2 linked regions of the Stegostoma tigrinum genome follow. The protein of the gene in region 1 purifies or fractionates together with the protein of each later gene. This does not show direct contact. Links are inferred from orthologs where the notes say so. Each region holds a gene or a part of one and is shown in the gene's direction. Other genes may lie near its edges.

Evidence for each region. Proteins that work in one complex are often made in the same cells at the same time.
Region 2: the proteins of irf2bpl (region 1) and vgll4b purify together in Homo sapiens (affinity purification with mass spectrometry; 3 studies listed by BioGRID and IntAct, counting the BioPlex papers as one, with this or other methods). This does not show direct contact. The link is inferred for Stegostoma tigrinum from reciprocal best matches to the Homo sapiens genes IRF2BPL and VGLL4.

Annotation. Positions count from the first base shown.
Region 1 is NC_081363.1:50,436,330-50,444,002, forward strand, and holds the start of irf2bpl (probable E3 ubiquitin-protein ligase IRF2BPL), read left to right. Parts: upstream 1-4,185; 5' UTR 4,186-5,108; coding exon 5,109-7,091; 3' UTR 7,092-7,673. UniProt on the Homo sapiens protein: Probable E3 ubiquitin protein ligase involved in the proteasome-mediated ubiquitin-dependent degradation of target proteins. Through the degradation of CTNNB1, functions downstream of FOXF2 to negatively regulate the Wnt signaling pathway.
Region 2 is NC_081364.1:24,111,139-24,118,942, reverse strand, and holds the start of vgll4b (transcription cofactor vestigial-like protein 4b), read left to right. Parts: upstream 1-4,730; 5' UTR 4,731-4,739; coding exon 4,740-4,836; intron 4,837-5,116; coding exon 5,117-5,303; intron 5,304-7,804. UniProt on the Homo sapiens protein: May act as a specific coactivator for the mammalian TEFs.

The DNA of each region.
Region 1 (7,673 bases):
CATCTATTTAAAACCTACATATTATATACCTTTCATTACAGTTTCAGGCATTATTTTTGCATAATCAAATAAAAACATGGTGAGGATGCATTTCATTTCTCAATTTGGGAAATGAAATACCAAAGTCTCCTACTTAGGAAAAAAAATCATTACTTCCACGGTATGTCAGTTCTTTTCTTGAAATCTACAATACTTTAAAGGTCCAGTCAACTTTTGTTTTAATATTTCTGCCTGTACTTGAAAACCCATTTACTTTGCTCAGTGTCAACTTTAAACATTTCCCATGATAGAAATTTCACAAGCCAGATAAAAGAGTAGCACTCCCCTCATTCTACCTCAACCGGGTAAATCAACTTCACTGAAGCAGTATCTATTTTCCCTTGCCCACCAGCAATCCTCGTGGTCTCATGACACTACAAATTCTATATCAATTAGTTATTTGCTGAGCAGTTGCTTTGAGGTCGTTTGATTTAAACATTTGTTTTTCTAGGCAGATTAGAGAATTGTAGAACTGCAGGATGTGATATTGGTAGGAAATGATGAGGACATAAAATTTAAATATGAGAATCAGAAATTTCAATTGGAGGTGATGGGGTACAAGTGTATATCAGCAAAGTCAGGTGTGATAGTTGGACTGAAGCTATAATTAAAATCACAAACATAAAGAAAAATAGAGTGGGTAGGCAAGATAGGATCAAGATAGAAATGTTAAAGAAAGGCAAAGTAAAAAAGAAATCTAAAACAGTAATACAAGTCGAATATACATGTAAAAAAGAAAATTGTGCTACAGAGATGCTTGGCAGTAATGAAGTACAAATTCATCAAAAAATTGCTTCGACTCATACAGCACGTAAAACAAACCCTTCAGTGCAACTCCTCCATTTGACTAGACATCCCAATCTGACCTAGTCCCATTTGCCAGCATTTGACCCATATCCCTTTAAATGTTTTATATTTATATAACCATCCATTTCACTTTTAAATGGTATAATTGTACCCCCCTTCACCACCTCCTCTGGCAGCTCATTTCATACACTCACCACCCTCTGTGTGAAAAAGTTGCTTCCTTTTAAATCTTTCCCCTCTTACCTTTAACCTATGCCCTCTAGATTTTGTGTAATTCGCGAATGTTTAATTGTTAAAGGATATCTGCAGTCTTGTGTGAATTTGTGTTAGTGGCTAATTACCACAGTAACTGCCTGCAAATGTAAACATCTGATGTATCAAGCCCAGATTTCTTTTTGGGATCTGACTTGTCTAGGATCAACATCAGCTTGGATCATAATGGCTGATTATCAGTAGCACTAGCTCCAAGTGGAGATGAACACCTTCATGAAAATCACTTCTAAAAATTGAGAATTAACATGCAAATTGTCTTAAAAACCTAAAGTAAAAGATACTGTAATGCCAGTTTAGTCCAGGCAGAATTTTTAACTTTAATAGAAGTTAATCTATCGTAAATCTACTAAAAAAAACTGTTGGTTCTTTAACTAAAATGGTCGTTTTCACTGGTTAAGTATGATAACTGTTTCACTAAATAAAGATATGCCATGATGAACACAGTAGGGAAATAGTTTCACATTCACAGCTGAGTACCATATCATTTGCCAATTTTGGAATAAATCTATTTTTGGCTACAGATTAAGAAACAGGTTCAGATTATTTAAGTTTACTTTAAATTAGGACCTTGCTCTTTGCATAATGAGGACATATCCATTACCGATTATTAAGAATATGAAAACTGTTGCTCAAGGTAAAACAGTCTCCTAATGTACATTGTGCCTGCACCTTGTGTCCTATTGAAAGTAAAAAGGAAAGTTTTTAAAATTCACCAATCGTTTTTGTATTTACATTAAGGAACAGAAGCAAAATGTTTGTGTTTCATGGTATCCTTACATCAAGCTTTCCAATTTGAGATGAACTATACATGTTTTATTTTGATCTGTGAGTTTAATTATTTACAGCTGTGAAGGGGATTTTCAATCTGTCTGCCAAAATCCTGTTGACTGTATGATTTTTAAAAATCCTATTATAGCTACAAACAACTGTTAAAATTCGTTGGGGTTAACATAGGCGGACATGTGTGCATTTATTTTTCCAGGGCTTGGACATTCCCCTCATTCCCCATAGCAGTTAGTATGATCATCTGTAACACTTGATAGGAAATGAAGACTGATGAATTTCTTTAATCCCTAAATGAAGCATCGATTTTCAGTGCAAATAAACAGTAGAACAGAAGACAGCAATAATTTAGGGCTCTTAAAGGAACATTCTTATTGAATCTCTTGAAAGAAGCGAATGTTATTTTGGAACAGAAAGTATAGCAAAGAAAAAATACTAATAACTATTTTTGGCATTTCCAATGTTTACTAAAATTGGATTGCGCAGTTGTATTTTTCGTGGTCTCGCATATTCCCTTTCGCGTAGTATTCTGTGTTGAACAAGGTGGCATAGCAAGGGCGATACGAAAAAATAACCTAGCGTTATAGCCTTACTAGCATTCAGAGCTTGATCAATCTTGGGGAATTGAGAGTGGGCGTCTCAAAATAATAACTACTTCTAAAAATAAGTCCATGCGATTTAAACGAGGCCTAAGGTATCGTTATTTCAGACAAAATAACAGTGGATGCCCTCTGCCCTCGTGGTGTGAGCGGAGAGGGAGTTAGAATGTTCTTAAGTAAATTTACATTAACTATCTCACACTAAAAGCTCAGATGGAACAATGACTTCAATGTCATAATTCTGTTTTATTTTTTCAATTCTGCGTCGTGACTTGCAGTGCGTTTTTTTAAAATCGGTGGGCACGATACCATGCGTCGATAAAATGCTTAATAGTCTGTTGAGCCAAGATCCTTTGAAATGCATTTTCCATTTTTTCTTGATGTTGTTTCATGGTCGGGAACAGAGGAATAAACCGTTCACCTCATTATTTTTAAAGGGGTTAATAAATTATATAAAGCTGTAAGGTAGTCGCACGTTTTGAAGCTTTTTTTGAAATAAAAACTGTTTAACAATCCTTTTCAAGTTCCGAATTCCAGTTGTACTACTAAGATGCTTAAATACTGCAGTTTTGATATTTAAACACATTTCCGTTTTGTCAGCTTCTGGTGACACTTGCTTACATTAAAAAAAACTCTTGTGAAGTTGTGTTTACCCTGATTAAAACATTGAGTTCCCCCCAGGAATGGGATCTGAGTGTGCCACGGATCATTTCTTTTTATACAAGGTGGGGGAAGGGTGTAGTGTGAGATTTAAGTTCGACTTTAGAATGCAAGACAAAATTATTTTTCCTTTCGGAATTATTTTAAATGAATAAGTTAAATGAACTTATAGTTCAGTAACTGATATGTGTTGGGCAAATGTGGATCCGTTTCAGTGTTCACGGAAATGCATTACGTTAAAGGACAATTTAGATATGTTTTAAAATATTTTTTCCAATTGACTTTTTTTTCTGCTCTCTTTTAGATTACCTACAACCATTACAAGTTCGAGTTAAATTAAACAGTAACCAAGTAGTTATTTATTTTATAGTGCTGACGTAGCTTTCGAAGTTGATGGCCCACATCCATGTTAATAATTAAACCGTACTGTACTGGAAAAACAAGCAGCAACTCCCTCACCTCGGGGCTCGCACCATTGGGTAACTACTTTCATGAAAAGTAAATAGAAGCGTTCATTGGGAGGGAGCTTTTCGTTTTCGATTGAAGTTTACACGCACAAAATTGCACAACAGGAAACTAGCATTAGGCTGGTTATATGTGGGTGGAAGTTGCATAATTTGCTAGATATTTAGCTGGTGTTCTAACCTATGAAATTATTTTATACTTTTCTGACGTTATGATGACTCGATTTTACAATTTTCCCATCATGCTTCAAATTGCTAAGATTGTCGTATTAAAAACGGACCCTTTGCATTAGTATAGCGTCAGCCTTAAAAGTACATGCACTTGGTATTGAGCAGATTCCTACCAATAAAATGGGAGCCTACAAAACAATCGAGCTGCTTCAGTCCAGAATTAGCAGCAGAGAATGAAATGTCTGCTCATTGAGTGACTCGGTGCAAAACGCTAGGGAGTTGCGACATTCTGAAGGGAACTGAACTAGAACAAGCCCTGACGTCATGGGGCGGGACTAGAGCTGCAGCTGGGGGGGGCGGGGGAAAACCTAGACTGATTTAATATACTGTATAAAGTGCATACTTAAATAAGTAATTACTTTCTATTGTCAAGTGTTGAACTTTTAAGACGGTTAAAGGAATTCCTGTTATCATAATTTGTTTCTCGATCTGTTCGACTGGGTGAAGTACTCAAAAGCTAATTGTTTAGTCAAGTAAATGTTATTTAATTTCTATTCAGCTGTAACTGGTGTGTTGGAATTTTGTAGTTTAAATTTAGAACTTTACATTTATATACCAGCTGTACTGGTAACTAATTTTGCTTTTGAGCATAACTTCCGTGGTTAATATTTCGAATTATCACGGACCTATCCTAATAGACATTCCCGCAGTGTATTCTGGTAACTGAATTGTTACAATGGACAGTTAAAACATTTTTTGGGCCAGGAACCAGTTTCTATTCCGTTACAACCGTAATCTGTCTGAAATTGCTAGGTGTTTTGGAGTAAATCATGTGCACGATGATCCGGCTACTCTCAGGGACAGGGGCTGAGAGACTGGACTGTACATTCCTCAGAAATGCTTTTGGTGTGTTTGCTGGATAGAGTCAAATCCGCAGTGTTTGGTTCTGTACAGTAGTATACGAAGAACCAAACTGCTTTAGTGACTACGTATGCATATAAAGTTTTTTTTTAAGGAATAAAGTATAGTTTTGAAACTTTGATAAAGGGTAGTCAGCCGAGACAAGCCACATGCTTTAGACGGTGGGGGTGGGGAGTGAGGCTGCGCTTGCGTATTGGCTGCAGAGCGGCGGCTGACGTCACGTGGTGCTCGGAGAAGCTGAGTGGCGGGGCCGGGAGGAGAGGAGAAAGCAGACAGAAGAGCAGGAGAAAGGCAAAGAAAGCGAGGGAGCCTAGGCCTGGCCATAATACCGTACGAAAGGGCCACCGCGGAGAGACCCAGAAAACAATCAAATCTGAACATCTTCCGCATCATGTCCGCTGCACAGGTGTCTTCGTCCCGGAGACAGTCGTGTTATCTCTGCGATCTGCCTCGCATGCCGTGGGCCATGATCTGGGATTTTACTGAGCCCGTCTGTCGCGGCTGCGTCAACTACGAAGGGGCCGATCGCATCGAGTTTGTCATCGAGACGGCGCGCCAACTGAAGCGGGCTCACGGTTTCCAGGAGGGCCGCTCGCCAGGGCCGCCTCCTGTCAAAGTGCAGTCCTTGGGTGGCAGCAAAGAGGCGGCTCAACAGCTCAACCACGTCGACGGCTCGTCCAAAGGGCCCCAGCCGCCTGTCGATCGCTATTCTTTGAGCGAGAGACCCCGATTCGAGTACCCGAGCCTCGCCCATGCTGGCAGGCTTCCCAATGGCCTGAGTGGACCCAACGGATTCCCCAAACCTGAGGACATTCCGCCGGAACTCAACCGCCAGAGTCCCAATTCATCACGAAGAAATCATAACATCGTGCCCCCGGGCCCCGTCACAGTGCCGCCCAACTTGCTGCCGCAGACCACTTTAAACGGTCCGTCCGCAGGAGCTCTGGGTCCACACGGGCTGCTAAGCAGGCCGTCTCCTTCCAGCAGCTTGGCCGGGACATCGGTGACGGTCAGTAGTCAAGTCCTGAGTGATGTGAACAAACGGCCAGGCTCAGTGTCCAGCAGTGACCAAGAGAGGGAACTCAAAGAGAAACAGAGAAATGCCGAGACTCTGGCTGAGCTGGGCGAGAGCTTGAGAAACCGCTCTGAGGACTGGGTCAACAAGCCCAAGATCGTGCGGGAGACGCTGCTCACCCTATCCAACTGCAATCCCTTCGATGTGCGCTTTAAGAAGGATCACTCTCTTTTGGGCCGGGTATTCGCCTTCGACGCCGTCTCCAAGCCCGGCATGGACTTCGAGCTGAAGATCTTTATTGAGTACCCGAGCGGTTCGGCCAATGTCTTCTCCAGCGCCTCGGGAGTTGCCAAGCAGATGTACCAGGACTGCATGAAGGATTTCAGCAGAGGCCTATCGTCCGGTTTCAAGTACTTAGAGTATGAGAAGAAACATGGCTCGGGAGACTGGCGCTTGCTGGGTGACCTGCTGCCTGAGTCGGTGCGTTTCTTTAAGGAGGTGGTGGGGGCCGATATGCTGCCGCAGCCCCATATAGACGCCAATTGCCCCATTTTACCCACCGCCCTGTGTAATATACCCCGGCCCCCGCCCAACAGCTCGAGAACTGGGATGCGCAAACGCAAAGCGTCTCCTGAACCCGATTCGGAAACAGGCAGTGTAAAGCTGGAAGAGCGGCAGCAGCAGTGGCTGTCCAACCAAAATGAAGCCTTAAAGCTTACTATGGCGGCATCAGGCAGTTTTGGCTCAAGTGGTGTGGCTCATGGGGGTTCCGCTCTGCCACCCAACCGGACCACCCCTCCCGAATGCAGCGCCCAAAATGGACAGTCGCCCATGGCTGCCCTCATGTCCGTGGCCGACACCCTTGGAAATGCCCACTCTCCAAAGGACAGCAGCAATTCGGTACATTCAACCACGAGTACCAGCACTCGGAGGAATAGCAACAGCCCCGTGTCCCCTGCCTCGGGTGGTGGCCAGCGCCGCATGGTGTCCAGGAACGGGGATGCTGCACTGTCCGTTGCACCACCTAACAACCATCCCAACCCCAGCATTGACCCCGTTCATCCCCCAAACATTCCAGACTCACCAATGGCCAACAACGGGCCCCTGTGCTGCACCATTTGTCATGAACGTTTGGAGGATACTCACTTTGTGCAATGCCCATCAGTGCCCAATCATAAATTCTGTTTCCCATGTTCTCGGGAAAGCATTAAGGCGCAGGGGGCAAATGGAGAAGTTTATTGCCCCAGTGGAGAAAAATGCCCTTTAGTAGGTTCGAATGTCCCTTGGGCATTCATGCAAGGAGAGATTGCTACAATCTTAGCTGGGGACGTTAAGGTCAAAAAAGAAAGAGACCCATAATTTCTTAACTTCAGTAATTGAAGTAAAATGTGAATAAGAACTAAAAGAAAGTTAGTCTTATGTATAGACATTTTTCATTTCCATCGTATGTTTCTATATTTTGAAACAAGGTATGTACTCTTCTTCATTTGAAGGATGAACCTGGTTTTGTTTAAAGAATATCAGATATTATTGCTTAATACTGTTTTCACTTATGGCAGTGTGTTGGCTAGGTACAGAGCATAGCACTTAGCAATTAACGCTGCTGGTGTGTTTTTGTAAATGTATGCACTTCGCTGAATTGCCAAGGCCAGTGTTGACGTCTGCAGAAATGCAAACAAATTGTTACAAGAATGGTTACAGTTAGCTATGTTACGAGCCCTGGAGGTAATCTCCTACAAAGTGACTTTTTTTAAAAAAAGGTGAGGGGTTCTTTTTATTAGTTTCCAAGGGCAAAATATTTCATTTTATGATTCAGTGACCTGAATTTTTTATAATGTGTTCTTTTGCTTTATGGATGCACGAATGCTTTAAATAGTAGAGCAAAATGCTGTACTGTATATGACAAAACTGCTCTGTTTGTTCTTTATACATTTCTGTAGT
Region 2 (7,804 bases), on another chromosome or scaffold:
CAAACAATAAACACCAGAATTTTAGCAGCTGACCTTTTGGGTGGCTCTTTGAGCAGCAGAATAATTAATCCTTTAGCAATATGATAACTGATTAGCTTAAGTGAAAGTGATTCTCCTGATGTATGTGAGTGATTTCTGAGCATTTCACTTCAAATAGTTGTTCAGAAACCTATTTCAAAATCCTTTCATGACAGGTGAAAAGCAGTTGGCAACTGAAAATGTACTGAGTATTTCAGAGTTGCTGGAAAGGCGTGAGAAAGACTCCCTTTTAAGATGAAGGATAGCCAAAAATATGGAGAAACATCTGTGACTGGAAGCCTGGTACATAATATAATTCAGTAAACAATTTTCTCTTGGAGATCAAAATTGCCTTTTTTCTCACACACGTTCTGAAATGCTATAGTCAGAAAATGTGACATTCTTTTGAGATGCAAATAGCATGATATATAGCCCATTATCACTTCCAACTTCTATTGAAAAGTTGTTCACAGTTACTAAACGGGCTCCCAAATACTTGATCAACATTTAACTGTTCTACCTGGTCATATGGTATTAGTTTGGATTTTTGCTGAGAAAATTCAAGGACACTTTATTTTGGGAAAAGATCAAACTGAGTTTTCTGAAGACTGGTCCAGGCCCGAAACATCAGCTTTCCTGCTCCTCTGATGCTACTTGGCCTGCTGTGTTCATCCAGCTCTACACCTTGTTATCTCAAACTGAGTTGACAGTTGAGTTTCACATTGTAAGAATTGAGCAGTTTCCTTTCTTCTGATGGACCAGGAGCCGCCTTTTGGTTTGTGTTGATGGCAGTTATTTTCAAATGTCAGTTCTGAATTGGAGCTTTGGGTTTGAATCTGAAGTATCAATCCAGGTCAAGAGATAACAAAGTGTGAAGCTGGATGAACACAGCAGGCCAAGCAGCATCTTAGGAGCACAAAAGCTGACATTTCGGGCCTATCTCAGATTCTCCAGCATCTGCAGTTCCCATTATCTCTGATATCAGTCCAGGTCACTTGTTCGTCTCATCAATCTGACTGAAAATTAGACATTTCCCAAGTTATATTAATGTCTATAGGGTTGATGTGTAAAGTATACAGATAAAATCAGTGTCGTCTGACTATCTGACCAATATTTACCATCACCTAAAATAGGTTATATGATCTATTTAATTTTATGGTCAATGGAACCTTTTGCACAAATTGACTCCCCATAGTTTCCACTTTGTAACAGTGACTACACTTCAAAACTACTTCATGAGATATAAAGAATGTTAGATTGTCCTGAGGGGTTGTGAACAACACCTAATATAAAGGCAGGAGTTTTTTAAACTTAGTGGTTTTTAATATTTAGTTATGTTACAAAAAACATCATTTTTGTATAAGCCATATCAGGTCTGGTAATACTTAGAGCATTACTTCTTTCCTTTCTTTCTCCTGCACACTATTTTGGCGGGAAGCAAAGTCCACTTAAACCAGAGTGATCCAGCCTTGTAAAACCTGATCTGCAGCTTTGTGCAAACTGGCTTGACATCTTTATGTTCACTGCTTCATCTCTCTGCAAAGGGATAAAAGGAGAGGTCATTTTCAGTGCTATCGTCAGTGATCTGAATACTCTTTCAGTTCCAAAAAAACTGGAACAGATTTAAATGGAGGCAAGGTAGAAATGAAAAGACGAATAGTGGAAACAACAGTCGGCTTTGTTAAAGTACAGCTAAAATTAAGACAGAAAAATTGCTCATGCATAAGTCTGTGGAATTTCCATCTGTTTTGCATGAGAACAATTTCTCATATGCAGATATTACACTCGGAGATAGCAGGAACTGCAGATGCTGGAGAATCTGAGATAACAAGGTGTAGAGTTGAATGAACACAGCAGGCCAAGCAGCCTCAGAGGAGCAGGAAGGCTGATGTTTCGGGCCTAGACCCTTCTTCAAAAAAAGGAAGAAAGGTCTAGGCCCGAAACATCAGCCTTCCTGCTCCTCTGCTGCTTGGCCTGCAGATACAACACTGTTGTTTGGCATCTAAACCTGGATACAAAATTGAAGTGTGCTTTCTCATCAAACAACTGATTGGGAATGTGATTAAACTTAAGTTCAGCAGCCTTGTTTCCATAATTGAGGCAAGTAGATTGAAGTAGCCAGATGGTCAACCTAAGATTGACCAGTAAGCAGCGCTAGAATGGCCATAATGAAAGCAAATCTAACTGGTGTATGTGAGAGAGAATCCAAAATGTTAATGATGTTTACATTATTTGTGTATGAATAATTCTCAGTTGAAATGAATTTCCCATTATTTTTGAAGATTTCTATTTTTAGTTTGGTTTTATGAACAAATTCAGCCCTTCAACAAAGGCATCTTGTATTTGCTTTTGAATATACAACAATTCTAACTGAGCTTGGACTTCTAATTTAGATTAGATTAGATTCCCTACAGCGTGAAAACAGGCCCTTTGGCCCAACAAGTCCACACTGCCCCTTCATATATCCCACCCAGATCGATCCCCCTATAACCCACACACCCCTGAATACTACGGGCAATTTAGCATGGGAAATCCACGCAGACACTGGGAGAATGTGCAACTCCACACAGACAGCCGCCTCAGGCTGGAATCGAACCCGGGTCCCTGGTGCCTTGCTAACCACTGAGCCACCGTGCCGCCCAAATGTATACTTTGTCAAATAAATTTGTCTGTTTTAACTCCACTAGTTAAATGATCATTTTAATCGTTATTCCTTTTTAATTGGTTTTCTATTTTAAAAGGAATACCATTCAGAGATCCACTTTGTAACAGGCACAATGATTGGTGAGTGGTTTCCACATGGGAGAATGGGTCAGGATATAAAATTTTGCAGTTGCAGGTACATTTAGGCCTGAGCCAAGTTTTTCTGTAAGCCCTGTGCATATCTTCAGTTAATATGGGGTACAGATTTACATTTATGCTATGTATCAGTCTTGTGCATACATTTCTTCTGGTCAGATCCTTGGACATACTACTCTCGGACATCTGGTACACTTTGCAGCTACATTTTCCATTCCAGTAATTGTGATTGACCCGGATTAAATCACGTGCAACTGAGTGAGAGCACTGACAGTTCCTTCTGTGCCCCACCTACCCAGCCATTTTTTTTTGTTTTCCTGGCTGAACAAAGGAGAAATATTAGCTGCAAATAGGGATGTGCAAACTGCAGCCTTTTATTAACAGTGGAATTTGGATAAAAATGTTATGAATTAATATAATGCACAAAATAATGTGGTAATAGAAAAAAGCTTAATGGGCACAAAACTGTTGTGGAGGGCTTTTAAAAAATCCTTTGCGTTTGGAGATGTGCATCTTGCTTTGAATGGTCACAGTGGATCTAGTATCAAATCAACTTAATGCTGCATGTTTTTATTTGCAAGCACAACTGTCGATCTTCTGATCCAGTGATGTTGACCGGTAGCCCCAGTACCACGTGTGGCAAGTGTGTTGTTGAAGTCTGGATTGTGCTTCTTTATTTTGTTTTAATCATGTAGGCTAGAGTGATTGATTTTAAAAAAAAGTTGATGTTGCTTTCAGAGATAATGGGAACTGCAGATGCTGGAGAATCCAAGATAACAAAGTGTGGAGCTGGATGAACACAGCAGGCCCAGCAGCATCTCAGGAGCACAAAAGCTGACGTTTCGGGCCTAGACCCTTCATCAGAGGGTCTTTGTTATGTTGATTTGTTTTGTTAGTTGGATAAATTGAGAGTCAAAACATTTTAGATTTCTAATGTTTGACTGTTAATGGAGAAACTGGTAGCCACCCTTCCAGGTGCAGTGATGCTCAAGAAGACTACATTTTGGATACCTCTCCTGATTTATTGAATATTACTAAGGCAAAAGCAATTTATTCTCATTTTGTAAATTCCATTGCCTAGATTTTATCCTCCTTTTGGGCCTTGATCAATTTTTACTTCCTTTTTTTGGGACTAATCATAATTCTCATGAACATCTAATTTCATGTGAATAAACCTCTGTTATTCTAATCAGAATGAATTGAGAGATGTTACACACAGTTTCAGTAAGTCCTATTTCATGTTCATTTAATTCTCTGTCTGGCACATTTTTATTTTTGTAGCTTTTTCACATCTGTTGGATCCTTCCTGGGGAGCAAAAGTAACTTGGCAAACATTAGGTTAAAATTCCATGGGGAGGAGGGGTGGAAATTCTATACATAGCTGTTCAGCTGGGCAAGGGAATAGATGTAATTGAATTTTGCTGCCTCAAATGAATAAGCAGTCAGGAAGGAAAAATTGGAAATGCATCAAAATGCTGTCTGATAATGAGGCTATGACTTGTAAAAAGTCACATGAATATCCTGCATGTGGAATGTGTAGTATCTGGTTCGAGAGACAAAAACTAAATTAAATGTATTCAAACTGCTGCTGAACTTTTTTTCAGAAAAGTCTAGATTTATCAGAGTATTCCTTGCCAAAGTTATGATGTCATCTTGGTTGCCATGGAGTGTGGTTAGACTGGAGGAGACAACCCAGCCAGTAAAATAGGACATTTGTTTGGTGAACAGCACTGTGGTTTCCCTTCACTGAATGCAATGGGGAAAACTATCAACAATAAATCTCTTGAATGTTCAGCTCGTCTCTTTTTTTCTGTTTTTTTTGTACTTTGAGGAAGAGGTGTGGGCCTTGTGGCAGACTTGGGTATATGCACTTATTTTTCCCATGTAGGCAGGGTGTGAGCGTCTGTTTGGAGTTCAGTTTTATGCCTATGTATATATACTGTCGAGCATTAACAGTGTCCAATAATCTCATAAAGTTTAGTTTGGCAAGCTGCTTTTTCCTCTGCCACAGCCCTTACGGTGCGGAAAGAAAAACAACATTTCCCACAGCAATACTGAGTTATATTTCTCATTGCAGTAAAGCAATCAGCAAATTTTATGCAAATTCTAGTGTTTGCATCCATTTGTGGTACATTTTTAGTGTGAAACTAGTGAAATGTTCATTGACATGTCGTGTACATTTTTGAAGTCTTTAATACGCAAGCATATTTAACTCTTTGCGGAGCTAGGTTGTACTTGCAACTTGCTGTAGAAAGGACAGTGTTCAAGGCGTTTAACTTTTTAAACATTTGATCCGTAGGCGAAGCTGCACTCCGGAGTGACGGTAGGATGCAGTCAATCCCAGTGTCCTCTGCACTCACCAACCACCGCACAGGACCTCCACCCATCAGCCCCAACAAGAGGAAATTCAGTGGGGACCAGGGAGGAGATGATATGGAAAGTGAGAGTGAACATGCCTCTAAAACAAGCAGATTATACGTTCAAGTGTAAGTATTTCTTGACTAGAAGCATTCCCCATGCTGCAAACTGGATTCCTGTGTTATGCTAATTTAAAAAAATGGAACTGGTTGAAGCAGGTGGAGCAACCTGAATGAAGAACAGATTTGGCAACTATTAGTCTCCCTGAGCTCTAGTATATGTGTGCACTTATATTAGGTGGTTCTTATGTTACTGAACAAAAATTTGAAAAACAGTACGGAGGTTAAAAGAAATCTCATAGCTTAATAGTGGACTTGCCCAGGTACTGTCTGTACACATACTGGTGTCCATCATGCTTAAGTCAGAAAGAGCTCAGTGTATTCAGACTGTAAATCTGTCCAGAATGTGTGTCCCTTTTTTTCTTAGTCTTCCAGTATAAAAACAGAAGTGAATGACAATTCTTAACTTGTATTTGAAGAGATGACTATAAGGATATGGAGTATGTTATCCTCTGAAATCACTATATCCACCATTGTACTGTGGCTTATTTTTCTTCAGACCGTCGCAATTATTTTTGTACACACCACCTTTTCTTTCATTTTATGCGATAATGTTGATGTCTACCACGTTCTTTATTTCACTTGGCAATGTGGCTTTAGGCGCTCTGAATCCTTTCTCACTCTGTCACAGATTGCACTATACCCCTGTTGTAAAGCCTAATTCTTGTCTCCCCGGACCTGTCATATGACATTGCTTCATGGATGCTGGATTCCCTTTCTTTATGTTTTGTATAACAGAGTATTCTCCTCCCTGTTTTATTAATCTGCAGTATTGTGATCCGTAACATATGCTGTATGACACACTTTAATGTCAAACAACCTCTGCCCTTGCTCTGTCACTGCACGCTATTCACCTTTTCTAGCTTCAGTACGTTCTGCTGCAGCTCAGAAGTGCTCTGGCAATTCATCTAGCTGACTTTGACAGGTCACCCCAACCCTTCACTTGCTACTTGATGAACAGAAATGCCATAGAAACACCATTCCTGCGCGTTTGTTTCTCTCTCTCTCTGTCTCTCTCTCTCTGTCTCTCTCTCTCTGTCTCTCTCTCTCTGTCTCTCTCTCTCTGTCTCTCTCTCTCTCTGTCTCTCTCTCTGTCTCTCTCTCTCTGTCTCTCTGTCTCTTTCTCTCTGTCTCTTTCTCTCTGTCTCTTTCTCTCTGTCTCTTTCTCTCTCTCTCTTTCTCTCTCTCTCTCTTTCTCTCTCTCTCTCTCTTTCTCTCTCTCTCTCTCTTTCTCTCTCTCTCTCTCTTTCTCTCTCTCTCTTTCTCTCTCTCTCTTTCTCTCGCTCTCTTTCTCTCGCTCTCCCCCTCCCTTTCTCTCTCTCGTGCTCTCTCTCTCTCCCTTTCTTTCTCTCTCTCCCTCCCTTTCCCTCTCTCGCCCTTGCCCTCTCTCTCTCTCTCTCTCTCTCTCTCTCTCTCTCTCTCTCTCTCTCTCGCCCTTTTCCCCACCACCGCACGTATTCTTCCTCCCACACCCTCTCCAACTCTCTTACTGCCTCTCCTCACCCTAAGACACGAGCATTTTCAGGAGTTGGTCTGCTACTTCTCGGTAGAACAGGGGTGAGCAATAACTGTATTTTACTAGACAGTTTCCACTATTTAACCGTATGCGAGGTACCAATTATTAGAATCTGAGAACTTGTCTCAACAAAGTGGAGAAAACTGGTGTTGCTTTTCTTGAGCTCTGTCAGAATGTAGCATTCTGCAAGCCTGCGAATGGAATTTTCCACACATGGTTTTGTACACTCTGCAGAGGAAAGAATGCATTCAGTTTTAGTCCTCAAGTGCTAATTTTTATTTTTTTTTATTATATTCGATCTGATCTCCACACGGTTTCCCAACGCCAGTTGTTGCTCGTCCTGGCTTTATCTGCATGAACCCGGCAATTAACGGCAATTTGCCACTGTCTCCGTTATCTCCTAGCATTTGGTTAGATGTGAGCCTTTCTACCCTGGGGTAGACCAGGGGCATATGCTGGGCCAATCATGTTCTTCTGTGATCGTAGACAATGTCATTTGGTTAAAGTGTTAATAAAACCCTTTGTTCTTGTGTTGGTTGAATGGACTTACAGCAGCAGTGGCCCTGTGGTAATAAATGCTGCAAACGGCGTTATTGCACTACACCATTCAAATTAGAAATAATTTCATTTGCATCCATGATCCATGTTGAATTTGTCAATCTCATTTTGGTAGCACTCAATCGGTGCCTGTACTTAGGAGCTAAATAAGGGAAAAATCAACTTCTGTTCCCACTCTTGTTCATGTTTGTGGATATCAGCTGTGATGTGATGGCCCTATCAATTACTACGTCACATACGGTTTAACCAGTTGCGGCCTCCTGCCTCTGCCACCTATGTCCAGTATGAGCCCCACCTCTGAGGCATAAGAAGTGAAGACTTAGAATAAAATGAACTGCACTTGGAAAAATAAATTTGCTATTTACTTGCTGCTTTCTCCATGTTCAGATTTTACTTCATAAAGCAGATTGTAAAAGCACCAATATTCCTTCGGTAT